2 linked regions of the Canis lupus familiaris genome follow. The protein of the gene in region 1 purifies or fractionates together with the protein of each later gene. This does not show direct contact. Links are inferred from orthologs where the notes say so. Each region holds a gene or a part of one and is shown in the gene's direction. Other genes may lie near its edges. The genes, in order: KHDRBS2 and FBXW11.

Evidence for each region.
Region 2: the proteins of KHDRBS2 (region 1) and FBXW11 purify together in Homo sapiens (affinity purification with mass spectrometry; 3 studies listed by BioGRID and IntAct, counting the BioPlex papers as one, with this or other methods). This does not show direct contact. The link is inferred for Canis lupus familiaris from reciprocal best matches to the Homo sapiens genes KHDRBS2 and FBXW11.

Annotation. Positions count from the first base shown.
Region 1 is NC_049233.1:26,361,946-26,366,530, reverse strand, and holds the start of KHDRBS2 (KH domain-containing, RNA-binding, signal transduction-associated protein 2), read left to right. Parts: upstream 1-1,591; 5' UTR 1,592-1,760; coding exon 1,761-1,851; intron 1,852-4,585. UniProt on the Homo sapiens protein: RNA-binding protein that plays a role in the regulation of alternative splicing and influences mRNA splice site selection and exon inclusion. Binds both poly(A) and poly(U) homopolymers. Phosphorylation by PTK6 inhibits its RNA-binding ability.
Region 2 is NC_049225.1:41,234,146-41,237,961, forward strand, and holds part of FBXW11 (F-box/WD repeat-containing protein 11), read left to right. Parts: intron 1-2,282; coding exon 2,283-2,401; intron 2,402-3,607; coding exon 3,608-3,816.

The DNA of each region.
Region 1 (4,585 bases):
CGGCATCGTTTTTGTTACTTCTGGATCACTGAACTTCTTGGACTTTGCCTTCATTTCCATACCTATAAAACGGAAAAAGCAACACCTATGCCATGTTTTTCAGAGCTCTTCTTCTTCTTCTTCTTCTTCTTCTTCTTCTTCTTCTTCTTCTTCTTCTCTTCTTCTTCTTTTAATTGAAGTTCATTTTGTCAACATATAGCATAACACCCAGTGCTCAGAGCGCTTCTATGAGGACAAATTGAGATAACGGATGTGAAGACACGTTGACATTTTAAAAATTATAGAAGTAAAATATACTCTTCCACCTTATCTTGAAAAATTATAAGGAAAAGGTTTGAATACTGGAAGAGAACTTGGAAAAGTTTTAGCGCGCTTTATTTGTAGGAAAATTAGTCCCCAATCTTCTACTCTGAAAACGGTGGCGAGGCAAACTGGAAAATGATCGTTTATGAAAAGAGACGTTAGAAAGATCGTTTTATAACATTTGGAGCATGCAAGCTGCATTTTCAGGCCCCCATTATTAAGAGAAGGATGGGCACTGCTTCCAGTGTTGGTGATACCAAAGGAGGGTTTAACTGTCCTTTAAATAGAGGTGGGATAGATACAAAGTAGCTCGGCAAAAGCACCTGGTGAAACGCACCGTCACATCTAAAATAAAGAGAAAGGGAGAAATTAGAGCAACCTTGGTCACCTATTCGCTGGTCTCTTCCTTCTTCCACCTGTCTTCCCAATTCTTTCACAAACTGTGGCTAACTAATTATATTGGCTTTTTAGTTTTAAAATTCAGCCCCCTCTCTCAGAACCTCTCCTATCGATAGGGATTGCGGGAGGAGGGGTGGAATGGGCAGGAAACCAGAACTAAGTCAATACCCTAATGATTGTACACTGGAAGCATGTTGCTCTACAATATCGCCCCCGAGTCTCTTTGTTTATCAATGAACATCCTACTGCGTCCTCGAGATGTAGGTCAGGCTCATTGGAAATATCAGCCGCGGACCACATGCAGTCTTCATGATATTTCCAGCCCGGGTGCGCTGCTGATTCCTGCACACTGGAGTGCGTCTGAGCTGCGAGGTGGAGAGGGGACACCTGTACCTTAGGGACGCAGGTGAAGTCCCGTCTACCTTCCTGGTACTTTCCCCGGTGCTTCCTCCTTGCCTCGGCCGCTCACTCTTCCCCTCCATCTCCCCTGCTGTTTTGGCCGCAAGCTTCTCCGCTAAACCGGGGCTTTTCCCGCTCTCTCGTTTCTCCGCACCCCAGCCGAAGACCGAGTGCTCCACGCAACTGGGCATGCCTGATAGCCAGGAAAGCTCGGGCTGCAAGAAGAAAGCGTTTGCACCTTCTGCGCCCCCCTCCCCTCTGCAGCTGCCTCCTGCCAGTCAGGCGATCCGACGTGCGGCGCGGCCCAATGAGGGCCCGCAGCCTGCGCGGGGGCCCGGCCTCTCGTCGCGCCGCCACCAATCAACGGCGGGCGGGGGTGGGACGCGCCCTGTTCCCGCCTCTCCAGTTAAGGCCGCGGGTGTGAGCCGGGGCTCGCGCGAGCCGGGGACGACGGCAGGGACCGGCAGGTGTGGGCGCGGGGCCGCTCGGCCCGACGGCGGGAGTCGAAGGCGCTCGGTGCATGGGCCCGTGAGGACGCGCCGAGCTCCCCCGGCCGCGGCGGAGGCGGAGCAGCGCGGGAGCGAGGCGCTGCCCGGCGACCCTGCGTCCGAGCGAGCGGAACCCTGCGCTTCGCTCGGGGACGGTCCGAAGTCCGCGCTATGGAAGAGGAGAAATACTTGCCTGAGCTGATGGCAGAGAAAGATAGCCTGGATCCATCTTTTGTGCATGCATCGCGCCTCTTGGCGGAAGGTAGGACTCGCCCCCACGGAGCGGCACGGACCCCTGGCCGCCTGCTCACCGCGGCTCGGTTAGGGGAGTGAAGTTGGGGAGGGACGCCTGCCGCCTTCGCAGAAACTGTCCTCCCCCCCCGAGGATGCTCGCCTCCGAGCTCGGGCGGACCGAGCCCGCTCTTGGGGCGGGCAGCGGGGCTCCTTCTCGGCGTCTTAATTTGGGGCAGACCGGAGCTGCGAGATGTAATGGCAGTGCTGAGGTGACCTGTTAGGATCCCCGATGGAGAAACCATAAAGTGCAGCGCGGTCAACAGGGATATTTTCACTTTGCAGAGGAAAAGGAAATCAGTTTGGAAGTAAATGGGGATCAATGGAGTGTGTTCTAAGAGCTTCTTAGCTACAAATCAGCATTTTTGTTTTTTGTTGGTTTTTTTTTTTTTTTTTTTGCTGCATTTTGGGAAGTGATTTTGATAGCCTTTATCTAATTGCAGCCTTTCCTATGGAAAGTCTTAGGATTAACCTAGATTAAACTATGTGTGTTCATCAGTATTTGTGAATGTAGCAAAGGCTAAAGTGCTCATCAATTTATTTGAAGTGTGATGATTGGGTACTCTGCGAGATGCTGGCCCCTGGGAACACTCTACGATTGATCAACTGTTTTACCAAGTGTGCGTTTTCTTTTGTGTACCTGTAATGTTAAAGGAGATTTCATTCCCAGAGGAGGAGTGTATGTGTATATCTTGTGTTTTGGGTTGCTTTGAAAGATCGTTTAAACACACACACACACACACACACACACAAACTTCTGTATGACAGAAATTTTAGCCCAATTACTCCATTCATCTTGAAATAATGCCATCTATCTGCTAAAGATACAATATCTGTAGTAATCTACACATGCCTTTTTAAAAACAACTTCAATTTTTTTTTGAGGAGTCCTTCATTAATAATAAATTGCTTCATCATCAAATTTTGTAGCTTAGGTTGTTATGGACTTACCTATAGCAAAACTAAAAGTGACAACTTCCTCTGCGTTGGCCCTTCTGTGTTAAAAGAAATGTTCTCTTTTTTGAGACCTAGTTGTACATGGAAGGAAAAATTGTAAACCTCCATGTATGATTCAAATAGACATTTGGTTTGATTAAATATTTTATTTATACGGCATTTACGACAGCAGTGGAGTGCAAGGTATTTTTTCTTTTTGCATGCTAAACAATTAAAAGATTTATAATCAAAATCTTGAAAGTGTGAAACAGCTAAACTGCTTTTCAAGGAACGAGTTGGTTTTCTAGAGGAATTGGAAAGGTAAAAAGCAATTATACTTACTGCTTTCTTGGTTACCGAATGAAAACAATACAAATTAAGTTGAAAAGTCAATTTAAAAATTAAACTCTGCCTCTGCTTTATTAAAAATAAAGATAATTGCATATAAATAATAGGAATATTGGAAATTAATGAGTTAATGAACGCCTAAGATTGTTCTAAATGATTAAAAATGCAATTAAGCCTTCTCCAATCATTTATTTCAATATATCTTCCAGAAGTGTCTTTATTACGCTGATAACGTCTTTAAAATGAAAAAAAAAGTTAGGAATTGATCATTTTCTCTGACCTGCTAATTGGGAGTTCTCTTTGGGACAGCAGGCTCAATGATTAATTCATTAGTCATTGATGAGAAGCTAGTGGAGTTAGTGTACGTTTCACAACCTCCACACTAAAGAAATGCATATAAGAAACTATTAGTAGAGTGCGTAAGTATTTCTGCAGCTGGTGAAACAGTCAGACAAGGCTGTGCCCTTGATTCCTTAACATTCTATCTTTCCCAGGAACTTGATTTCTTGATACTTAGGAACATGTTTGAATGTACCTTGTAATTTAATTTTTTCCCAGTAGGGGGAAGCATGCCCTGCTTTTGTAAGGAATTAGGAGGAAAAAGCTCCTAAATAGAAAACCATCTAAGTAAGAAACAAAGAGGTGTTCAAATTTCAGAGAAATCATAATGAGGAAAAGAGAATGGAGGAGGTGATGATTATAACCTTGGAATATAGAGAAATGTATGCAATAAAGATACATAAAGTTTACATTAATTCTTCATTTGTACCTGAAGTTCTTTGTGTGTACCTACTAAAGAGTATAAGGTGAGTGTCCTTTGGAATCTCTAATAAATCTTAACGTACATTTTTCTTTATAGATCTTTCAGTGTTTTTTTCAAAAGCCATCTGCCAAGATTTCCAGATTTTGTTTCAGATCTCTATAGGAGAATATGTTGAAATGATTTTATTTCTCTTACCTGGAAATGCACTGATTGAAGGCAGTGGCTATAAATAAACCTGACATAGATATTCATTTGGAGAGAAGGTGCACACTGAAGTACATTTCAGTCAGTACTGTGCAGACAGTCTCAAGACTGAGTGAGCAATAAAAATGATCCAGATGATTCACTTCTTCAGAATGATTTTCTGGAAGCTAATGTATATAAGGTCAGTGATGTAAACCAATGAGGTTTCATAGTGATTTATTTTGCATTTTTGATTGGCAATAAATGCAAATCAGTGCTCAATTGCAACTACCTAGTAAGGCCACAGGGCTAAAAGTAGCAGTGTGTTGATTATTTTGTTATTTTCATTGTAATTTGTTTTATTTCACTTGTTTCTGCTACGTGTTTTCAGTTGGTATGATTCTGTGAAAGCTAATGGAAAAGCCCATACATTTTATGTATTTGATTCTTACTTAGAAGAGATCTTGAATAATAT
Region 2 (3,816 bases), on another chromosome or scaffold:
CATTTTATTGAACTTTGAGAGTTCTTTACATATTCTTGATAGTTTTTTTTTTAACATATGTTTTGCAAATACTTTCTTCCAGTCTTGTCTTTTCATTTTCTCAAGGATATCTTTCACAGAACAGAAGATTTTGATTTTGACAAAGTGTTGTATACCATTTTTTCCTTTATGGATTATGCTTTTGATGTCATATCTAGGAAGTCTTTCATGGAGCTTTTTGAATCTGTAAATTCATGTCTTTCATTTACCAAATTAATTTCTTTTCTTTTCTTTTCTCTTATTTTATTTATTTAGGGACACCTGGGTGGCTCAGCAGTTGAGCATCTGCCTTCTGCTCAGGTTGTGATCCTGCAGTCCTGGGATTGAGTCCCACATCGGGCTTCCTACATGGAGCCTGCTTCTCCCTCTGCCTGTGTCTCTGCCTCTCTCTGTGTCTCTCATGAATAAATAAATAAAATCTTAAGAAAAAAAATTTTATTTATTTTGACAGAGAGAGAGAGAGCACAAGCAGGTAGAGTGGTAGGCAGAGGGAGAGGGAGAAGCAGGCTCCTGCTGAGCAGAGGGCCTGACATAGGGCTCTATCCCAGGACCCTGAAATCATAACCCAAGCCAAAGGCAGATGCCCAACTGACTGAACAATCTGGGTACCCCTCATTCACCAGTTTCAAAAGTCTTTGGCCATTAGTTTTTCAGATATTTTTTCTGTACCATTTTCTTGCTGTCTCCTTCTGAGACTAATTACATAAATATTAGATCTTTTGCTACTGTCTTACATTTTCTCAACCTTTTTTCCCCCTCTTTCTGGATAATTTCTGTTTATCTTTCCTCAAGTTGACTGCATGCTCTACCTCTTTCTTAGAAATTCACAGGATAGAGTAGCATGTAAAGGCTCTGAGACACCCAGTGTTTCCCAACTTCCAAAACATTTGACCACACAACTCTTGTTTTTATGTATTACTTATTGATAGCCCCGATAACTTGTGGCAGGTTAATTAATTTAATTAACTATAATTTTGGCAATTATCCTTTAAGGAATAGGTAAAAATGGTTTATAAGGACCTTGTCAAAGTATAGACTGGCCAGAGGCTTACATTTCATTTATATTGGATATGTTTCTAAAAAATTCTATTAATAGAGGTATATACCATGTTTAATTTAAAATATGCATACATTTGATTTATAAGACTTAAAGAGTAGAGTAGAAGTGTGCTATAGAGAGGTCATCTGGACCCATGTTTGGAAACCTTCTGTACTTCTTTCTATACCAGTCCTGGATCACTAATCACTCTTTCAGCTGCGTGTGGAGCCCCATGCAGGGCTCAGATCCACGACCCTGAGATCAAGGCCTGAGCTGATACCAAGAGTTGGATGCTCAACCGACTGAACCACCCAGGCGACCCACTAATCACTCTTTAAAAATAACTGTGGTGCTAATTAAGGTCAGAAGTTAGAAGCAAGCCTTGTTGTTGTAGAAAGATAGTTAAATGTCTACAATACTTGTTATATCTTGGGTACTTGCAGTAAACTTGAGGGACGCTGTAAATCATGATAATATTTTACAATGGAAGAAACAGGTCCACACAATCTATCTTTAACAATCTAATCTTCAAAAAGAAATGATTTACCCTCCCCCATTATATGAGGACAGTATTGAAAACCTGGAAAATCTAGGAAAGATCAAAAGAAGGGAGAAAAAGAGCACTCAGAGAACAAAACCAACTATTACTAACATTTTCTTTCCTTTCCTGTTTTTCTTTTTTTAAATATACATGTTATGTCATTATATAGATGGTTTTTTATTCTGGTTTTAAAAACCATTACTGTAATAAAGCATTATATTCTCTCATTAAAAACTTTTCAGAGTTTACTTTGAAATTTGTCTGAAATGTTGAACATTTTTTATTTTAAAATTTTTGTAAATAAACATAATGGATTGTGGTATGCATTTTTAAGGTTCTTACTAGATATTGTCACATTGTTTTCCAGAGAGTGAGCCAACTCTTTTCAGAGTTTATTTGAAAATTCCCGTTACAAAGCTGTTAAAAATAATGAGTACAATCGTTAGAGGGACAAAGTATGCAAAATAGTACATCTGTTTTGAAAGCTATTCAATATTGCCTCTTCCCTTTTTTGTCATTTTCCACCTGTTTGAAGTTTAACCACTCTTATTTATTATAACAGAGGTCTGTTTTATTTATGGTTCAGAAAATAAGGTGAGACAAACATATTTATCAGAATGTGATATACTAAATCACTATTTGTGGTTGATCTTGTCTCAATAGATTTGGGATAAAACCAGTTTGGAATGTTTGAAAGTGTTAACAGGACACACTGGCTCTGTCCTTTGTCTCCAGTATGATGAACGTGTCATTGTGACTGGTTCTTCAGACTCTACAGTGAGGTGAGTGATTTTGCTTTACTAGTCTGAATTTACAGTCTTTCATGAGAAGACTGAGATTGCACCCTTTTCAGGAATGAACACATACATACTTTGTATATGTTTTTGTATACTGTATTTGTAAACCACTTTGGGTGTAGTTTTATTTGAACAAAGTAGGGTGGAAAGCTTTTGTTAAGTAGGTCCTATTCCCATTGCTGTATGTTACAGAGATGGCAGTGTACTTTCCTGCAAAAACACATTACCTAGTGTTAAGCTAGCTTTCTCCTGGGATACCATGCTTCAGACATTTAGAAAAGTCATAGTGTCCTTTCTCTGTGCTTCTAGGCCATTACTTTTGCCATACAAGCCTGTGTCTTTCCTCCTTTGCTCTTTGTGAAGAGCAATTCTTAGGAGATTGCATTAACAGAGAAGCTACAGCATGAAAGGGCTGCCCCTAAGAATCCTGTATCTCATGGATGGAAGCAGTTGGGATACTAACTTTGTCCATAAAGCATTTGGGCACATAGATGAGTGAAATTGACAAGATGTGATGACTACAGTCTCTAGTTTGCAGTGGATAAATAAGAGACTCCGAGGCCTGTCAAAGGTCCAGAGGAATCTTAAGATTGGAAACTGTCCTCAAGGGATCCCTGGGTGACGCAGTGGCTTGGCGCCTGCCTTTGGCCCAGGGCGCGATCCTGGAGACCCGGGATGGAATCCCACATCGGGCTCCCGGTGCATGGAGCCTGCTTCTCCCTCTGCCTGTGTCTCTGCCTCTCTCTCTCTGTGTGACTATCATAAATAAATAAATAAATATATTTAAAAAAAAAAAAAAAGGAAACTGTCCTCAATTCCCCAGCTACCAAGCCTCCTCCCTGTCACTGCAAACTCACTGCAGAGCCCATCTACTGGGAGAATCATTTTGTTGTCAACACAAACCTGCAAACAAGCACTGTCCTTGAATACCTGGTGCTAAATCTAAACCTGAGCAGAGCTAGGATTGGCCTTCCTTTTTTGAAACCCTCTCAGTACTTCTTAGCAAATAGAATAATTGCTTCTGAGGGCTCCTTTTAGCCATGATCTTAGGTATCAGGTCCCATTCACCAAATACAAGCAAAGCTTACATCTCCCCAGCCTACTACTAAGAATGGGCTCGGGGCACAGAAGCTAGACTCTCTTCCTGGTTGTCTTAACAATGATGCATTGTGCTTTTTTGTTCTCATCTAGAGTCTGGGATGTGAACACGGGTGAAGTTCTAAACACGTTGATCCACCACAACGAGGCTGTACTGCACTTACGCTTCAGCAATGGACTGATGGTAACCTGTTCGAAGGACCGCTCCATTGCCGTGTGGGACATGGCTTCTGCCACCGATATCACTTTACGCCGTGTCCTGGTTGGCCACCGCGCTGCTGTCAATGTTGTAGACTTTGATG